Coturnix japonica: one gene and its partner. The protein of the gene in region 2 purifies or fractionates together with the protein of the main gene of each other region. This does not show direct contact. Links are inferred from orthologs where the notes say so. Each region holds a gene or a part of one and is shown on either strand. Other genes may lie near its edges.

Region 1 (9,653 bases), on a different chromosome or scaffold from region 2:
GAAAGACCCACCGGTTTCATATCGTTCATCTGACATTAAAATACAGTACTGCAGAAAGACGTGGTTAGTCTTGAGTATGTAATGTACTCATTTCCTTGTAAAAATCAGTGGATACTCATAGACATTTGCTGTATTTTGTAACAATGACAACTACCATAGACAATGCAATTTGAAAAATAACTTTCATAAGAGAATTTTCAATTCAATTCCTGAGATCATAAATTCGAGTTATTCAGAAAAGGGGGCTTACAGGCCTGGACACACACTTAGGTGTTAGTAAATCTGGGGGTTCACAAACCCACAGCAGCTTCTCTCAAGGTTCTTGGGGATCAGAAGAAGCAGCTTTTCCTGAGGTGCTCTCAGCACAATGTACAGAGCTGCACCAGGCTGCGGGGAACACCGTCTTTCCTCTGGGCTCAGCTACACCCAGCACCCAGCCAGAGGGAAGGACTGCCCCAGCAGAACGGTTACAACAGAATTTATAACTATTTATTCGGAAACGAGAACCTGGGGCCTTTCTGCTTTCAAAACCAGAGAAGCCCGAGACTTCTCAAACGACAACTGAAGGAGGAAGTGCTCTTTTCAACAGAAGTTAAGGCGTTCAGTCAAGCAGCAGCCCCAGCACTTGTGTGTCTGAATATTATGGAGATTCCCTATTCAGCTGCTGCAGGACATTAACCCTCTTTCATATTCTCCTGTTGAAAAAGTCCCTCTTGCACAGAGAGCGTTCAATATTCATGGACCTGGGGGAAGTGTGAAGGAAAGCCTCTGTAGGCCGATGCCTTCCAGTCCTTGCTCCCTAAAGGACTCTGGGTTGCTTTATCAAACCGACAACAAAGGGAACTGCATTTGCATGGCAGGATGTTTTGGCTGGATGTCTTAGGCTTATGGGTCATTATATACTTTCAGGGGGGAAAAAAATAATCATTTCACACTTCAAAGCAGAACCCTCACTAAAAGTCTTTCCAGACTATTACAGGGATATTTTCATTCTTAGTGTAGCAGATTTTCAGTACATAGCAGTATATCTGTATCCTCTTGGCTGCAGCCATCAGCTCCCCTCTGCCCTCCCTCCTCAGCTCTCTGTGATTCCTGCAGCTATGGGAATCTGCAGAGATTCAGACTTTCCTGACAAGAACTGCAGAGATCTTTCACAGAGGCCAATTCACATTCCCCTTTGGGCTTGAGATGCAAATATGGGCTACATTCATTGCAGGTGTATAAGAAACTTCATTTCCACACCTGTGTAAGAGCCCACCAGCAGAAGGTACAGAGGGGTTTATTGCAGTCCTTATAACTGACTATCTTTGTATTGTTAGGGAAATTTCACAGAGAAACAGCAATGAGGCAGATGGCCAAGAGCACATATGGCACCAGTGACACAAACATATGAAAATTATATCCAAAACAAGAGGGAAAGAGGTCCTGTTTCTTTACCAGAACAAACACCTCCCTGAATTTCAGGGGCAGAGCACTGTCGGAGTGAAGGATGGCAGTTGCCATAAGGGTTTTGTGGAGCATAAACAAGCTGTGGGTCATTAAGAGAAGCAGATGGAGCCAAGTGCACCTTAGCAGCCCAGCAATCTGTGACAGCTCCCGGTGAGCTGAGTGCAGCATCTTCCCTTGGGAGCCGCTTGCTGCCTCCCTCTGAGCTTTTTGCCTGTGTTCCTTTACTTCTTATCGCCATCAGAACCAAACTACAGCACAGAAAGGAACACAGGCACTGAGCAGCCAACCAAAAATCTCCCACTACAACTTTAATTAAATATTAGGGCTCTGATTCTTCCCATAAGGTACAACACCTGAAGGGCAATAGCCAACCCTACTGTGAGCTGGGGTACAGACATCACTTCACTCCCTGCCCGCTGCTCATGTTTAGGTTTATCAGAACTCCCAACATAGACATTGCTTCTGCAGGGCTGCAAGTTAGAAAAACTAAATCCAGTGGTAGCATTACACCCCATAAGTGCAGATAGCTTTGCATTGTGTCAGTCACTTTTAGAGCAAGGAGGAGAATGGTGTCACCAATCAGATGCATCAGTGTGGGATAGTTCCCTAGGAGAACGTGCCTCGGGCTTTGGGCAGCCCAGCTTTACGTTCCCTAAAGGACAGGGATCTCACCACCTCCCTTACACCACTCCGCACTCACGCTTAAAATGGTCTTGGGGAATTCTTTTACTGCTGCTCCGGTTTTTCCCATCCAATCTTACGCCAACACTATTGGTTCTCCTGTCTCACTTGGCAGCCCGACTGCGATAGTGCAGTTGCAGTAGAAGCATGAGGCATGTCCTGCCTTTGAGGCTCTTTGGGGATCACTTCTAACGAGCTTTTTGTAAGAGCTCTTTATTGAAACAATGACCGTGTGCCTACAGAAACTAAAAGCAAACAGACCCTTGGTTAAACCGCTCCAAGTGACCAGGAGCCCAGCGCCCGAAGGCAGAGCGGTGTCCCTGCTGCAGCCGTGGCAGTGCGGCAGCGCCCGTCCGCAATGGGCGCAGCTCCGCCGGCATCAATGAGGGCGGGCCCCCGGGAGCCGCTGAGCCCTGAGCACGGGACGGGAGGCTGCGGGTGCCGTCGGAAGCAGCTAACCCCAAACCTATCGACGGTTCGTGTTTCTGTCTGCCCGCTTTGGATGTCTGGGAGCCCTTAGTGAATAGCGAGCATCGCTCCCCCGATCCCGGAGACTTTCAGCAAGATACGGAGAAAGGGACGGGGCTCGCACAAAGTTGCACAGACGCATTTTTAAGCGCTCGGCCCGTGCTGGGAGCGCTGTCGGAGCACCGCAGCCCGTCCTGCCCTCGGAATCACTGCGCTGTCGGAGGGGCGTAGGGCCCCAAGGAACCTCGGCAACCGCCCCGTGTCCCGCCGCCTTTGTCCCCGAGCTGTAACCACGGACCCCTTCCCCCCCAGCCCCTCCCCGCTCGGACGCGGCCATTGGAGACGGACGGGGCGGGGCGGGGCGGCGGCGCCCCATAAGAGGGGCCCCGAGTTGGGGCCACCGCCCTTCTTCGCCCGCCGCGCTCCGAGCCCCGCTCCGCTCCCGGATTACAAAGCCGCTCCGTTCCTTGCCGCCATGAGCTTCACCAGCAGCAAGAACTCCTCGTACCGCCGCATGTTCGGCGGGGGCAGCCGGCCCAGCAGCGGCACCCGTTACATCACGTCCACCACCCGCTATTCCCTGGGCAGCGCCCTCCGGCCCAGCAGCGCCCGCTACGTGTCCGCCTCGCCCGGCGGCGTGTACGCCACCAAGGCGACGTCGGTGCGGCTGCGGAGCAGCATGCCGCCCATGAGGATGCACGACGCCGTGGATTTCACCCTGGCCGACGCCATCAACTCGGAGTTCAGGGAGACCCGAACCAACGAGAAGGTGGAGCTGCAGGAGCTCAACGACCGCTTCGCCAGCTACATCGAGAAGGTGCGTTTCCTGGAGCAGCAGAACAAGATCCTGCTGGCCGAGCTGGAGCAGCTCAAGGGCAAAGGCACGTCCCGTCTGGGCGACCTGTACGAGGAGGAGATGCGGGAGCTGCGGCGGCAGGTGGACCAGCTGACCAACGACAAGGCCCGAGTCGAGGTGGAGCGCGACAACCTGGCCGACGACATCATGCGCCTGCGGGAGAAGTGAGTGCGGGGCCGGGGCTGGGCGCGGGGCGGGCACCCACCCTCACATCCCTCACCTCCCTCCCTCACGTCGGCCGTGTGTCGCTGCTTGCAGGTTGCAGGAGGAGATGCTGCAGCGGGAGGAGGCCGAGAGCACCCTGCAGTCCTTCCGACAGGTGGGCGCGGCCGCCGCGGGGCGCTGGGGGCGGAGGGTCGGGGCTGGGGCTGGGGGCTGGCGATGCGGGCTGGCTCTGCCCGCACAAAAGGCGCTCGGCGCAGCCCCTTGGTCTCCCCGTTGTTTTCTTTAGGGGGGTGCCGCAGTCCGGAGGGGAGGGTGAGGCTATTGTCCCACTTTATCCCGGTCTGGCCGGCTCCACAAAAGCGCTCCGACGTGGAATCGCTTTCTGATCCAATAGTTGTGAAAAGGCGCAGCCATCTGCGCGCCGGGCTGAAGGGTATTAATGGTTTCTATGGGATTCACCGAGGAATGCAGATCCAGGCATTATGGCCGGTGTGGTGGCAGCAGATTGAAATAATGGATCCCTTTGTGTTGGAGGGGAGGCTGCCGTGGGCTGCATTCCTACCGAATGTGTAATGGTGGGGGCACGTTCCTGGGGGAGACTCTGTAAAATACTGAACTCGGTTCTGGATGAGCCGCATCACTTTGCACACTCAGGAAACTGTCCCAGATTTGAAGTATTTCCTATCAGTGGTGTCTGCTGATCAGAAGCAGACAATGGGTTCCTCGGGATGAGCTCACAGCAGCTGTCTGTATCCCCTTGATGTGCATTAAGAATGTAGAATTCAATCCCTTATAAGCAAAGATGTTAATGTAAGATACAGTGCACCGGAGTTTGGTCTGTAGGAAGCTGCGGTGTCACACAGCTGAACCAAAGCCGATGTGACAGCCAGAACCAACTGTGAAGCCTGCGGAAAGTTCTGAGCTTAAGTTTTGATTTGTGCAAAACCAGCTCTTGGCGTGGATTGAGGGCTGGTTGGACGAGCAGAACTTTAGGAATGTGCCTTCTCAAAACAACAGAACTTCCTGAAAACTGCTGGGGTGAAAAAACACTGCTATCACTCCTCTGAGCTGGAAGCAGCTGCCCTGTATCTCCAGACAGCTGGGCGCAGGCTGACCATCTTAGAGCTCTGCATAGGCAATAGTAGGTGTCACCATGTAGGAAGCTGTCATTTGGTTTTTAGCATTTCCCTGGTGGTCTTAGTGGGGCAGTGTGGGAGCAGACACATGGCAGGGGCTGGGAATGAGGTGTCCACTGACATTGTGGGGGCTGAAGCTTGAAATAGCAGTTCCAGGTATTGCCTTTAACCCAGGCTGCTGTGTTACTAGGGCTGAGCCCATCCAAGTAGTTGCCAAGTCAGTGCAGATGCATTTCCCCTTTTTGTTTCAAATTACTAGAGTTCAAGCACAAGCTCCTTTGACTTAAAGCTAGTTCAATCATGCGTGCTTCTCTGGTGCACTTCAAGGCACGTCTTCCTCTCCCTCCAAGCAACACAGCTTTGTAAAGGCTGCGGGCTATTATGTGAGCTGTGCTGTGCGTGCCTCACATTCATTGTCTGCTTCCCTGCCCTGTCACTCAGCCTCCAGCTGCTCTGCCCATGCACTGAGCCCATGTAACCACTCAGCTTTACATGTAAAAACTGCAGATCATTGTCTGAGTTGATCAGTGGCACAAATAGTGCATGCTGCTGGGTTTGGTTTGAACAAAAGTATACCCAGTTTTTCCCTGCCACAACAGAGTAGTTCTAACGTGCAGATTTAGAAGAGAAAGTACGCTTGAGAGTTACTGAATTTTTTCCTCTAAACAAGAGATGCCACATTACTTTCCACGTATACTGCGGGGTGTTCTACATCAAATAAGCCTAGGGATTTGGTGACTGCTTTGTGCAACAAAAGAGGCATCATAATTAATGAGGAAGTTATGTACCGCAGCTTTGTCAGATGCTCTGACAGCAGGGAACAGATCTGAGCCCATGACAAGGCACACAGGTCAGCTCCTGGCTAACAAGGGCTTTCCTGAAATAAATGAGGATGTTCAGCCATTAAAGACTCTCTTCAGATAAAATCAATATGTAGTCAGTCCAATTACTCATATGTGTGACTGAAACCTTGTTTGCTCAGGCTATTAATACCTTTTTCATCTACATGGCTCTAAAGTGTGCAGAGTAAATGCACTTAGCGGAAATACAGTGAAATGCACATTACGTACTGAACAAGCCTCCAGTTTAAGATGCTTTCTGCATATTAGAGGTTGCTATAACTTCTGTAGCTCTTTGAATCTGGGAAAAAAATAATCCCTTTTAGTATTGAGGCTTGTGCAAAATCCACTGGCAAGTGTTTGGATTTCTCAGTAGTCATGTAAACATGTTAGGTCATAGTTGTGTAATTTCCTTCTAGAATGGTCTTGGAGTTTGGGAGGAGAACAAATGCGTTAAGGAATTCATTTTTTTTTCTGAACTGGAAAACAGAGCCAAGATGAACTGTGGTGTGCAACTGGAGTTGATAAGAAACTTTCGTAACACATCAAAGGGGCTTTCTGCTGCATATTGAATGCTGGAGAATTCTTCTGGTGCAAAAAACTTAATCCCGGGATAGGAGTAAACCAAAGGATGGCGTCCTGATAGTCTAAAGAAAACTTTTCCTGTTTCAGAGGTGTTGTAATAGTGAGTGCTGCTGATGAGTAATGTTTATGTTCTGGACAAAATACAGACTGGCTGTAATGCAAGTTGTGAAAACAGGATGCTTATATTAATACCATAGGAACAAAACTGGGCAGCCAATGTGAAAGGATGTCTTCCCTTTATAAAGTGCTTTACTCGTGTCTTTAAAATGTAAGAAGTTACTGATCCATGGTTAATTTTCAGTTATTTTTTGAACAAATTAACACTGTTTCCATGTAACATTCGTGGCATATCATCTCTTGTGCCTTAAATGAATTTTTGCTGTTGATTAAGACTATCTCTGTCCAGCAAAGGGTGGAGTATTTGCCAGCTAATGCGAGGGTGTAGGCAGCAGTGACTGACTCCATTTGTGTTTATGCTCATACCTTTTCCTCCAGGGACATCTGTCAAACTGCTTGGGGTAGTCTGTGGTCCTTACACACACATCCCTACATTTAACAGAGTGCCTTCAAGTTGTGATCTGCGGAGCCAAGGGACTCTGGTGTGTCACTGAGGAGTCCATAGGAGATGAACAAAATGTTCATCCACCATGATGTGTGTCAGCAGTAACATAGCAAAGATGACATCTTCATATGCTGCATAGTCCACAAAGTTGTGATAAAGCAGCATATAGTGATCTCTGAGGCTGGGGCTGGAAGGAGCAAAAATAAGATTACTAATTGTTCTCTTCTCTCTGATCAGGATGTTGACAATGCTTCTCTGGCGCGCCTTGATCTTGAGCGCAAAGTTGAGTCCCTGCAAGAAGAAATTGTCTTCTTGAAGAAGCTTCATGATGAGGTAAGCTGAATAATGAGGTCTGTGTCTGGGCACTGTCAGTCAAGTGAACAACTAAACTCTCTGGCTCTGGCCCCGAGTCCTAACCTATGCATTTTCTGTATAGTGTTGTTTATTAACACTGTCTCCTTCTCTCTAAGGAAATCCGGGAACTGCAGGCTCAACTCCAGGAACAGCACATCCAAATCGATATGGATGTTTCTAAGCCTGATCTTACTGCTGCCCTGCGTGATGTTCGTCAACAATATGAAAGTGTTGCTGCTAAGAATCTTCAGGAAGCTGAAGAGTGGTACAAGTCCAAAGTAAGTAAAATGTGTTGTAGGATTATACAGATGTAGCGGGCATTCAAATGAATTTTAGGTAACAGTTTTGCTGTAGCACTCAGTGTTCCTTCTGTACTGAATGCTAGCACAGCCGCAGAGTAGGGTAGTCTTTAAACTTATTGATCTGGGAAGAATACAGTTGGAAAAATTACTTGTGCCCTAAGTGCAGCATCAAACTAATGGGCTCGTTTCCTGTTCTTCCCTATTCTTGGAGCTGGAGGCAGTTCTTAAGTATATACTTAGGAAAGGAATGAATAAATGCATGAAAGGATCTGAAACATAACAATCAGGAATAGAGAAGTTCAGTGTAATGTTCACGTTTAAATATTTCATGTGCTAGAACATCCCTGTAATGGCTTCAGTTGCTTCCAAATCCTGGGTCTAGAAGTAGCCTGTTACACCATTTTAATGAGGAGTTATGCTAACCAAACTGGGTGTTTCTACAGTTTGCAGATCTCTCCGAAGCTGCTAATAGGAACAATGATGCCCTGCGCCAGGCCAAACAAGAAGCTAATGAATACCGCAGACAGATTCAGTCTCTCACCTGTGAAGTTGATGCCCTTAAAGGAAGTGTAAGTAGATGATGTTCTTCCTGATGCAGCTTTTTAAGCACTGTGCTGTAGTTCAGTGGATGGACGTGGCTGCAGCTGATCTCCCGTACAAGGCAGCAGTGTACCCATCCTTCCTGAAAAAGACTCATTGGGCTCCATTTGTCTGCATGTACTGTGTAGTGCACTGCTCAGATTGCTGTACTGAGCTGGTCTTTCTCAAGGTGTAAACATTACAGAATGAGCTATACGAAGCCTAAGGGAGCAGTGGAAAAGTGCAGATCTTGTACTTTCTTGAATCTAGTTGCCTGAAAGGCTGGCTTGAAATGGAGGTAACTGTTTAGTACACCGGTAGACTCCCTCACTAAGTACTATCTGCGTGCTGACTTGTACTGTATGTGTTTGACTTACTGTGGGGGTTTGCTTTGCTGTCTGGTAGCATAATGTTAAACGTGTCTCATCAGACACCTCACTCACAAGGCTTCACAAGGGGAGGATAAGGAGATGATAAAAGGGGGGCATGTTTGAGCCTTTTCAGAAAGGATACTGTTGTTCAACTTCCCTTCATGCTTTTTCTTATTTAAGTAATGAAGGGCCTTGCCATTAGGAGTGGCTGAACTGTAATTGTACTTGACTTTCTTCTCTCCCAGAATGAATCCCTGGAGCGCCAGATGCGTGAAATGGAGGAGAATTTTGCTGTTGAAGCTGCTAACTACCAAGACACTATTGGCCGCCTGCAGGATGAGATTCAGAACATGAAGGAAGAAATGGCTCGCCAGCTGCGTGAGTACCAGGAGCTGCTGAATGTCAAGATGGCCCTGGATATTGAGATTGCGACCTACAGGAAACTGCTGGAAGGAGAAGAGAGCAGGTAAAAATCATATGCAGACACCTACTTTCTAGCAGTTACTGTTTGAGATTCTGTACCATTGTTTGACTTGATCCATCTCTTCTTTTCCTTCAGGATTAACATGCCTATTCCAACCTTTGCTTCTTTGAACCTGAGAGGTAAGCTGTTTCTTTTGGGTCTATGTAGGCAGCTGTTTTTAATCTTTAGCAAAAAGGTCATGGATAGTTCCTTTTACTCTAGTATTTGAACTGGTATAAATGCAGCTGTATTTGAAAGTCTTTCTTACACACAACTACAGTATTTGCAGTTACTTAATTTTGGATGAGAGGTGGTACTTTGTTCCTGGGTGTACACATAGGGAAGTATCAATATCATAACAAGTGATTTGGATTTCTGCTGAAGCTGCTTTAAGAGGAATAGGAAGAAAATAAATAGGAAGTAAAGCTAGTTTATCATTCATTATCATTCAAAGAGAAGAAGGACTTCATATACTAAACTGGGATTCTGAAAGCAGGTACTGACGTCGGTCAGTTTGTTGAGGAGGCGCTTCATCCACACTTTGGTAACAATACATTTTCTTCTGCAGAAACCAACATTGAGTCTCAGCCAATGGTTGACACTCACTCGAAGAGGACACTTCTAATTAAGACTGTGGAAACTAGAGATGGACAGGTTGGTGGTAACTTCTTTTTTTTCCCCTTCTTTTCAATTTCTATCTCAGCTGGTTCCTTTGCCCACTTCCGTACCCTGTGCCACTGATTGGTGCAATCAATACATGGCAGCGTCTGGCAGTCCAAGCTGCATGGCTGGGCATGCAGATGTAGCAAATGTACTTAAGTGGAATAGACCACAAAAAAGATC
Region 2 (9,925 bases):
TTTGGGGAGTCCCCTTTGGATTTTGGGGTCTCCCAGTGGGATTTTGGGGTCTCTAAGTGGGATTTTGGGGTACATCCCCCTTTGGGCTTGGGGAGATCCCTTTGGTTTTTGGAGTGATTCTCCCTTTGCGATTCTGGGGAGATTCCTTTAGGTTCTGGGGTGGTGTTTCCCCTTTTGATTTGGGGAGATCCCTTTTGTTTTGGGGTGATTCTCCCTTGATTTTGGGGAGATCCCTTGGTTTTGGGATGGTTCCCCCTTGGATTTTGGGATGCTGCCCCCTTTGGTTTTGGGGAGATCCCTTTAGTTTTTGGGGTAGTTTCCCCTTGGATTTTGGGGAGATCACTTTGGATTTTGGGGGATTCTCCCTTTGATTTTGGGGTGATCTGTTTGGTTTTTGGGATGGTTCTCCCTTGGATTTTGGGGAGACCCCTTTGGATTTTGGGGTGCTGCCCCCTTGGATTTTGGGGTACATCCCCCTTTGGGCTTGGGGAGATCCCTTTGGTTTTTGGAGTGATTCTCCCTTGGATTTTGGGGAGATCCCTTTGGGTTTTGGGGTGGTTTCCCCTTTGATTTTGGGGAGATCCCTTTGGTTTTTGGGGTGATTCTCCCTTGGATTTTGGGGAGATCCCTTTGGTTTTTGGGGTGGTTTCCCCTTTGATTTTGGGGAGATCCCCTTGGATTTTGCAGTGCAGCACCCTTTAGGTTTGGGGAGATCCCTTTGGATTTTAGGGCGATTCTCCTTTGATTTTGGAGAGATCCCTTTGGTTTTTGGAGTGAGTCTCCCTTTGATTTTGGGGAGATCCCTTTAGGTTTTGGGGTGCTACCCCCTTTGATTTTGGGGAGATCCCTTTGGTTTTTGGAGTGATTCTCCCTTTGATTTTGGGGAGATCCCTTTGGGTTTTGGGATAGTTCCCCCTTGGATTTGGGGGCAATTCCTTTGGTTTTTGGAGTATTGATCCCTTTTGTTTTGCAGCATTTCTCCCTTTGATTTTGGGGGCAGTTCCTTTGGTTTCTGGAGTATTGATACCTTTGGGTTTTTCTTGATCCCTTTGGTTTTTGGGCACTCCCTTTGGGTGTTGAGGTGTCACTCCCTTTGGGCTTGGAGCAATTTCTTTGTGTTTTGGGGTGCTGCCCCCTGTGAGTTTTGCTCGATCCCTTTGTTTTTTGGAGTTTTACTCCCTCTGGGTTTCAAGCTATTCCTTTAGGGATTTGGGGTGGAGTCCCCTGTGGTTTTGGAGTGATCCCTTTGGGTTTTGGGTGATCCATTTTGTTGTTGAGGTATTAGTCCCTTTAGGTTTTGAGCTTTTGTTTTGGATTTTGGTGTTGTGCCCCATTAGGGTTTTGGGGTGTTTCTTTCTTTGGGGTTTGGGTGATTCCTTTGTGGTTTAGGGTGGTGCTCCCTTTGGGCTTTGGGTGATCCCTTTGTTTTTTGGGGGGTAGCTCCCCCTTTGATTTTGGGGCAATCCCTTTGGGTTTTGGGGTGGATCCTTCATTGATTTTGGTGTCATTCCTTTGGGTTTTGAGGTGGTATCCCCTATAGGTTCTGGTGTGGTATTTCCTTTGGCATTTGGGTGATTCCTTAGATCCTCCTTTATGTTTTGGGCAATCCCTTTGGGTTTTGGGTTGGTTCCCACTTTGTGTTTTGGGCGATCCCTTTGGTTTATGTGGTGTTGCACCCTTAAAGGTTTTCAAGTGGTCCTCCCTTTGCTTTTTGGGGTGGTGCCTCCTTTGAGTCCTACAAATAGCACAGGGGTGTGGGTGATTTTGGCTATGGAATAACCTTTTTTTTTCCCATTGCCATCATTAGGTTTCAGAGTGAACTAGGAAGGGGATCGTCCTATTAGCCCCATGTATGGGGATATCAGGGATGGGAAATGGTTCTCAACCACACAAGGGGGACGTGACCACCCCTTAGGATGGCGCAGAACAGTCCTTATCTGTGCTCAGCAATAGGATTGTGCAGCAGCAGGGGAAGGCAGCGTCAGGAAGACTTTCCATCCGCTTCCCCTGCTGTGTGTTGGCTGTCAATGAGAAACTAAGGGAGGAGGAGCGGGGGAGGGTTGGGAGGGAGGGATGAGAGGGAAATGTGCTATTTCTTGTTTGCAACCCAATGGTTTTCTTCCCTTTGACCTCTCTGTGGCTCCCCCCAGGACGTTCCTGGCACCAAATTCCTGCTGGGGAGGAAGGAAAACAAGGCTGTGTATGAAAACACTCCAGCTTAGAACACACAGACACACACATAAAAAGGGAAAACACAGAGAAAAATTGCTCAACCTCCACCACCCTGATCCCAATAACTCCAGGCTGGGGATGATGCCCAAGCGCACACGTGGGGCGTTATCCCTACAGGGCGTTGCAATCAGGGCAATATTTAACCACGTCGGCGTCATCGTGTGGGGCAGGCAGTGCAGACATGGAGGGCAGTGAGTGCCTTCAGCTGCTGCTTCGCCGCTGTCGTGAGGCCAAAGATTGTGCCTACTGCCCCTACAGCCGCTTCCCTGTGGGTGCCGCGTTGCTCACCGCCAATGGGGAGATCTTCTCCGGTGAGATATTGCTTTGGGGTTGTGGGGTAATGGTCTATTTGGGTTCCGGGGGGTCACTTTGGGATGGTGCCCCCCACTATGGGTTCTGGGGTGTTGGCTGTTTTGGGTTTGGCTTGAGCCCTGTGGGGTTTTGGGGTGGTGGAGCCTTTGGGTTTGGAGTGATTCCCTTGGGGTTTAGGGTGGCATTCGCTTTGATAATCTCTTTTATGTTTTTCTGGGGGGCTTTTAGTGCCTCCTTTGGGCTTTGGGGTGGTTCCCCCAGTGATTTTGGGGCAAACACTTTGTGTTTTGGTGGTCCCCCTATGATTTTGAGGCAGTTCCTTTGGGTTTTTGTGTGGTTCTCCCTTTGGGTTTTGGGCAATCCCTTTTGTTTTTGGAGCGTTGCACCTTTAGGTTTTCAGATGGTTCCCTCTTTGCTTTCTGGGGTGGTTCCTCCTTTGCTTTTTGGGTTGGTCCCCTCTTTGCTTTTGGGTTGGTCTGTTTGGGTGTTGGGGTGGTGCTCCCTTTGGGCATTGGGTGATTCCTTTGGCTTTTGGAGTGTTTCACCCTTTAGGTTTTGAGGTGGTTCCCCCTTTTCTTCTGGGGCAATCCCTTTACTGTTTGGGTGTTCCCTTTGCTTTACGGGGCAGTGTCCCCTTTGACTTTTATGCAATCCCTTTGCTTCTTGGCATGCTTCCCTCTTTGCTTTTTAGTCAATCCCTTTCCTTTTTGGAATGCTTCCCTTTTGCTTTATGGGGTGGTGAGTGATGCTGGTGCTTCCCTATAGGATGCAACGTAGAGAATGCCTGCTACAGCCTTGGGATGTGCGCTGAGCGTGCAGCCATCCTAAAAGCCATCTCCGAAGGGCACACACGCTTCAAGGCCATGGCCATTGCCAGGTGAGGCCATTGGCACCCATGGCACCACATCACTCTATGGGTTTTAGGGTGATGCCCCATTTGGGTTTTGTTCAATCTCTTTGGGGTTTTGGCGTAGTGCTCCCTTTTGGGGTGCTGCCCACTTTGGGTTTTGGCTGATCGCTTTGTTCAATGGGGTGGTTCTCCCTTTGAGTTTTGGGCAGTCCCATTGGGTTTTGGGGAATCCCTTTGGGTTTTGGAGTGTTCCGCCCTTTGGATTATTGGCTATTCCTTTGGGCTTTGGGGAGGTACCCCCTTTGAGTTTGGGGTGATCCCTTTGCTTATTGGGATGGTTCTCCCTCTAATTCTGAGGCAATCTCTTTGGTTTGGGGGGTGATTCCCCCTTTGATTTTAGGGCATCCCCTTTGGGCTTTGTGGTGGTGCCCCCTTTGGGTTTTGGGTAATACCCTTTGGGGAGGTGCCCTATTTAGGTTCTGGGTGATTTCATTGGGTTTTGGGTGATCCCTTTCTTTTCCAGTGTGGTTCCACCTTTAGTTTTGGAGCGATCCCTTTGGGTCTGGGGGAATCTCTTTGGGTTTCTATGTCTGATTCCCTTTGGCTTTTGGGATGGAGTGATACTGAACCTGGTGTGGCTCTTTTGCTTTGGCAGTAACATGTCAGACTTCATCACGCCATGCGGGGCCTGCAGACAGGTGATGAGAGAGGTGAGTGGAGCCCCTGCCATGCTGGGGGCATGGAGGGCCACAAGGAGCTGCAGGCCACCATGGATGGGGGCCACCCCTCCATCTCTGGGCTGAACAAACTAAGGGAGCCCAGCAGTTGAGCTGAGCTGTGGGTGCTGCAGCATGGATTCCCTATTGACCCTCTCTCCTGCTTTTCTCCTTGTAGTTTGGCACAGACTGGGACATCTACCTGACCAAACCTGATGGCACCTACATTGTGAAGACACTACGGGAGCTCCTGCCACTCTCCTTTGGCCCCGAGGACCTGCAGAAGGCATGAACTGCACACCTGCATTTCCCTTTCAGCACCTTGGATCACTCCCCCTCTATGCAATTGACTCCATTGGGGACAATGGAGTTTGCTCCATGGGTGTTGCTTGGATCCAATGCAGCCCAACAGGGGATAAAAAGCAATATCAGCTCCAGTTCCCAGCATTATCCAGCAGCCATTTGTGCACTGTGTTCACCGTGCAGCCAATGTGATGCCACAGCTCCTTTTTTTAGCCTATTTTTCTCCTTTCTCTCTATATTTTTGCTTGCTTTCGTGAGGACAAAGAGCAATTCCTTGACAATGAAACAGCAATGGAACAAAACCCAATGACGTGTTACTTTAACGAGGCATGCTGTGCTCTGTGCCCTGTTGGACCATGCCCTGCGTGCTCAGTGCTGTGTGCACTATGCCCTCCATGCACTCACTGCACTCCATGCACCAATGCATGCTGCACCAATGCAACCTGCAGCAGCACCTTAAGCCCTCACCTTGCGCATGCGCATTGCGCATTACGCGCTTCCTCGTAGCCACGCCCCCTTCCTCATAGCCACGCCCCCTCCCCATAACCACGCCCACTTTCCCTGTAGCCCCGCCCCTTCCGCTTCCGCCTTCTTCCCGCCTCTTCCTGAGGCGCTCGGTGGCCGCCATGTTGTTTCGGGTGCTGTTATCCCGGGCCTACCGCCTGCTGCCCGGCCGCCGCCCCCTCCCCATCCCCGTCCCCCCTCCTGTCCCCTCAGCCGTTCCTCCATCTTCCCTCTTTTCCCGGCTGCCATTCGGCCGCTTCTTCTCCTTCAGACGCCCGGCTGGCCTAGCGGCAATGGCGGTGCGGAGGGTCCGGGCCGGGCCTTGTATGGCGTTGGCGTTGGGGCTGGCGCTGTTGGAGCCGCCGTTGGAGGAACAACGAAGAGCGAGGGCGGCGTGTGGCCGGATCCAGGTGTGGGGCTACGGGGAGGGGTTGGACGTGATGAGCTTAGTGGCCTTTTCCAGCCTTAGGGGGGTTCTGTTGTCCCCATGGTTACAGCCTGAATGGCAGCCTCTGGCTGCGGCTTTCGGTCTGTCTTTGTGTGTGGAATCGCTGTATTATTGGGTTGGAAGGGATCTCGGAGCCCATTCAGTACCAACCCGTGCTTTAGGCTGGTTGAAAATAAGGCCATTTTGCACTTAACAGTCACTTGGGCTTTCCTGGTTGATTAAAAGGCATTTTGCTCTTTCCAAGCACTCCAGCTTTCCTTTATTGTGCAGTCTTTGCAGAATCACAGAATGACCCGTGTTGGAAGGGACCTCAAGGATCACGTAGTTCCAACCCCCCTGCCTGGCAGGGCTACCAAACATACACCTTTACTAGATCAGGTTGCCCAGGGCCCCGTCCAACCTGGCCCTGAACACCCCCAAGGACGGGGCATCCACAACCTCCCTGGGCAGCCCGTTCCAGGGCCTAACCACTCTGCTAGTAAACAACTTTCCCCCTAACATCCAACCTAAATCTTCCCTCTTTCAACTTAAAACCATTTCCCTGTGTCCTGCTATTGTCAGCCCTTTTGAAGAGTTTACTCCCCTCCTGGGAGTAAGTTCCCTTCAGGTATTGAAAGGCTGCAGTGAGGTCACCCCGCAACCTTCTCTTCTCCAGGCTGAACAAACCCAACTCCCTCAGCCTGTCAATAAACTGAATAGTCTTGAATAAACTGAATGCTTTTCTCATTCCACTTTTCCTTCGTTTTTCCTTTCAGACGGTGTTTGTTGGGAAGAACAAGGCGCAGAAAGATCCGCTGAGCTCTTTGCGATGGCGGGGCTTTAAGCTGGAGGATTATCTCATCGGGCAGCCCCTTGGGAAGGGCTGCAATGCTGCTGTCTATGAAGCAACTATTCCTTCATCCCTCCATCGCCAGGGGAGCACACAGAGCTCAGCTCTGCCTGTGTCTGAAAAGGAGCCGGCAGATAAAAGCCAACAGCAAGCTGCCTTCCCCCTGGCTATCAAAATGATGTGGAACATCTCGGTAAGGAGTCAGCTCTTAACATCCTCCTTGTGTGTCTGGATATGCCCAGAGTTAGGTTACACAGGGCAACCTGATGTGGTGAGGGGCCACCCAGCCTACATAATGTCTTGGAACTGGATGATCTTTAAGGTCCTCTCCAGTCTAAGCCATTCGATAAGGACAAGACATTGAATGCCTGTTGTTAGTGACAAGTCACACAGCCAGTCATTATTCCTGTGGAGCTGACAGCACGTTGCTGTTGCAGGCTGACTCTTCAAGTGAAGGCATCCTGCGCAATATGCACCGAGAGCTCGTTCCAGCCACACAGACTGCTTTAGCTGGGGAATATGGAGCCATCTCCCATCGCAGGTACAGTATCCATCGCAATGACAGCTGTTCTCAGGGTATTATGTGCTAATTTGATCCAGCTTGATCCATCGGTTTCGTTCTGCAGCACGTCTGTGCTGTACAGAATGCAGCTGGAGGTTTCTGTGATATCTTATGGGAAGAACTGAGCATGAATCCTTGGGATTATTCCATGTGTGTGTGTGCCTTAGCTAAATGGCACTGCCTTTGTTGGTGCTGTATGCCTCAGTTGCCATGCAAGAGCACGCTTCTGCCTATCCTAGTGACTTCCCTCTAGTGAGGGAACAGCGTAGCAGTGGTGCTGTTCAAATAGTAATTTAAAAGTCTTGTTTGCTTTGAGGAGCACTTGGCATGCAGGAGATACCTGCAGCTTGGCCGTGTGCTTCCCTCCAGTGTCTTAGTCTTGAAGAGTGTTGGAAGGACATGGGATGATTAGGAACCCATCTGCTTTGGGTCTGATGGGGCACTGTGCCTCAGCTTCCCCATGTGTAAAGTATGTAAATTGCATTGCTCTCTGATAATGAGTAAGTTAACTGTTGGAAAAGCAGTGAGAACGTACTCCACAGTCCAGACTGCCTGATTTACACTTGAAATATGTCTCAGTTGACAGTATAGATGAATAACAAATGCTGCTTGGTGTGTTGTTACCCTGGGAATGCAATGAAGCCAAAGGACTATCTGATGTTCAGAGAGGAGAGCTCTGTTTTGCAGTTGCATAGTCAGTAACCTGAATGCTTCCTGTCTGTGCTAGTAAATACGAGGTCTAAGGTGATATGTGGCAGTGTGAATCTGGCCTTTATTTTCAGTCTAAAAGGACAGGGTTAGTAGAAAATGAAAGGCTGCATGTTGAGTGTGAGTGTTTCTGCTTATCCATCACACTGCAGGAAATCCAGTCACAAGGTGACAGCAGAACAGACATATTTATCTGCTGCTTTGGAACCCTTTGGTGGAGGGGATGTACCATAGTAATGAAAAATAACCCTGGAGGTCATAGAGATCAGTGTAACTTATGTCTGTATCTTTACACAGAGAACCTGTCCTTGGGAGGAAGAGATTGAGACCTCATCCAAATATAATCCAGGTGATCCGAGCTTTCACATCCTCTGTCCCGTTGCTGCCTGGAGCCCTCACAGACTATCCTGATGTTCTTCCAGTGAGCCTGAATCCCAGAGGGATCGGTCGCAGCCACACACTCTTCTTAGTGATGAAAAAGTAGGTGGGGAGAAGCTTGTTGGGGGCTGGAACTTTGTGGGGTTGCCCAGCAGAGCTGTGTGTTCTGCTGCATGGGTCCTGCTAGAGATTTGGCCTGGGTTGTTGCCAGAAGTCAGAGTACACTCTTGGAAACGTGGCTTCTGAGAGCTGTTGAGATCCTTGAGATTTTAGCTCTTGTTCAACAATAAAGGCAAGCTGTCTGTGCTTGTGACTCAGAAATTGAAAGGCATGGCAAAGTTCAGGAGGAATTTGGCACTTCTAAGTGCAGTGTATCCCCAGCCAGACAGCACTGAAGTCAAATGGGAAAGGAAAGGCTTCTGGGATGCTAATTCAGGTATCATCTGTGTTCTGACCAGCTATCCGTGCACCCTGTGCCAGTATTTGAAGGACAACAGCCCAGATACCCGACTGTCCACCATGATGATTTTGCAGTTGTTGGAAGCCGTGGATCATCTCGTTCGACACGGGATAGCACACAGAGACCTGAAGTCTGACAACATCCTGGTTGAGTTTGATTCTGGTATGTAGATCACTGGGTGTAAGGCTGTGTCTGTGGACATAGAAGGTTGTGCTGTAACCTGAGGGAGAGGTGCAGGATGTGCTGCACAAGCAAAGCAAGTGTTGGCTTGAAGGCATACAGGACTGCCATGCTCGCATTGCTGGCATTAGGCTGTGTCATTCCTCACTGGCCAGACAGCACAAAGCAGTTCTTAAAATGCTGCTGTATCCTGCCATGGCTCCACATCTGTTGAAAGGCAGGGAACTGACAGAGTATTCAAACCAAAAGCAGCATTTTTTTTGTCACCAGCTTCTCCTGTTGGCCCCGTTAACCTGAGATTTTAATTACCTGAGCTCTTTTTCACTGTGACTGAAAATCAAACGGGCAGGAAACAACAGCATGGAGCCAGATCTTTGTAATTGAAAGTCTTGGTGCAGCAGCTGTGGCGGGCTTTCAGTGATGCTAATGCCATCTCTCTTGAAGGAAATGCTTCTCTGGAGCTCCACTGAATGCAGTTAGGAATGATTTAAAGCATTGATTTTTCCCTTTCAGAGTCAGGAGAAGTAATGTTTTTGCTTTGCAGTGTTTGGCTTGTCTTCAGGACAAGAACTGTGAACTCATGCCAGATTCCTCCAGCCTTTAGCTCAGATTCTATCTTTATAGCTTTTGCTGTAGGTAAAGATGAAGGTGAAAAGATTGTTTTCATCATTGAAGAGTTCCTTACCTTATGTGTCCCGGTTGTTAGGGTATCCATAGTGCCTGCTCCTGGTGCTTGTCTCTTGCAGCTGGGTGCCCCCAAGCTGAATGCTCACTGCTGTCCCTGTTGTTTGCAGCTGGCTGCCCCCGGCTGGTGATCACAGACTTCGGTTGCTGTTTGGCAGATGACAGCATTGGTCTGAGGCTGCCCTTCACCAGCATTGACATGGATCGTGGTGGCAATAGCTCTCTTATGCCACCTGAGGTAAATCTTCCCACAGCTGGTGCTGCTGGTTGTGGGTTTGTGCCGTTTCTGGGGATAAAAGCTTCAGCACCAGCTGAGGTGCAAATATATGAGAACTTGGCAAAGGGTGGGATTGGGTCTGCATAGAATGAATTGAATTTTCTTAGAATCCACACCCAGTATTTGTCAAATGGGTACTTTGACCACCAAATGAAAATCCATTGGTGTTTTGAGGCAGTGTTGACTTTTCCCACAAGAAAGTTTGTTCTGTAACCGTTTTCTCAGGCTCAATTCCATGTAGCTGTTAGGGGAGTTCCTGCAGCAGTCCTTGCATTGGGGCAGCACGTGGCTTTTGAACCAAGTTCAAGGTGGTTGTGGGATGATGAAGCAGTGAAAACCTAAGGCATGCCTACAGAAAATATTCATCTAGAGCTCTCTGTTGTAACTCTTTCATCTCATTGGACTTGTCATGCAGGTGACCACAGCATCAGCTGGTCCAGGCATGGTGATTGACTACAGCAAAGCTGATGCCTGGGCTGTTG

The links.
Region 1: the proteins of PINK1 (region 2) and VIM purify together in Homo sapiens (affinity purification with mass spectrometry; 3 studies listed by BioGRID and IntAct, with this or other methods). This does not show direct contact. The link is inferred for Coturnix japonica from reciprocal best matches to the Homo sapiens genes PINK1 and VIM.

The regions. Positions count from the first base shown.
Region 1 is NC_029517.1:18,026,787-18,036,439, reverse strand, and holds the start of VIM (vimentin), read left to right. Parts: upstream 1-2,991; 5' UTR 2,992-3,073; coding exon 3,074-3,618; intron 3,619-3,674; exon of another isoform or gene 3,675-3,695; intron 3,696-3,712; coding exon 3,713-3,773; intron 3,774-6,978; coding exon 6,979-7,074; intron 7,075-7,211; coding exon 7,212-7,373; intron 7,374-7,840; coding exon 7,841-7,966; intron 7,967-8,592; coding exon 8,593-8,813; intron 8,814-8,906; coding exon 8,907-8,950; intron 8,951-9,378; coding exon 9,379-9,464; intron 9,465-9,653. UniProt on the Homo sapiens protein: Vimentins are class-III intermediate filaments found in various non-epithelial cells, especially mesenchymal cells. Vimentin is attached to the nucleus, endoplasmic reticulum, and mitochondria, either laterally or terminally.
Region 2 is NC_029536.1:4,261,775-4,271,699, forward strand, and holds the start of PINK1 (serine/threonine-protein kinase PINK1, mitochondrial), read left to right. Parts: upstream 1-4,474; coding exon 4,475-4,492; exon of another isoform or gene 4,493-4,736; intron 4,737-4,940; coding exon 4,941-5,327; intron 5,328-6,120; coding exon 6,121-6,387; intron 6,388-6,631; coding exon 6,632-6,735; intron 6,736-7,761; coding exon 7,762-7,944; intron 7,945-8,300; coding exon 8,301-8,464; intron 8,465-9,276; coding exon 9,277-9,404; intron 9,405-9,858; coding exon 9,859-9,925. UniProt on the Homo sapiens protein: Serine/threonine-protein kinase which acts as a sensor of mitochondrial damage and protects against mitochondrial dysfunction during cellular stress.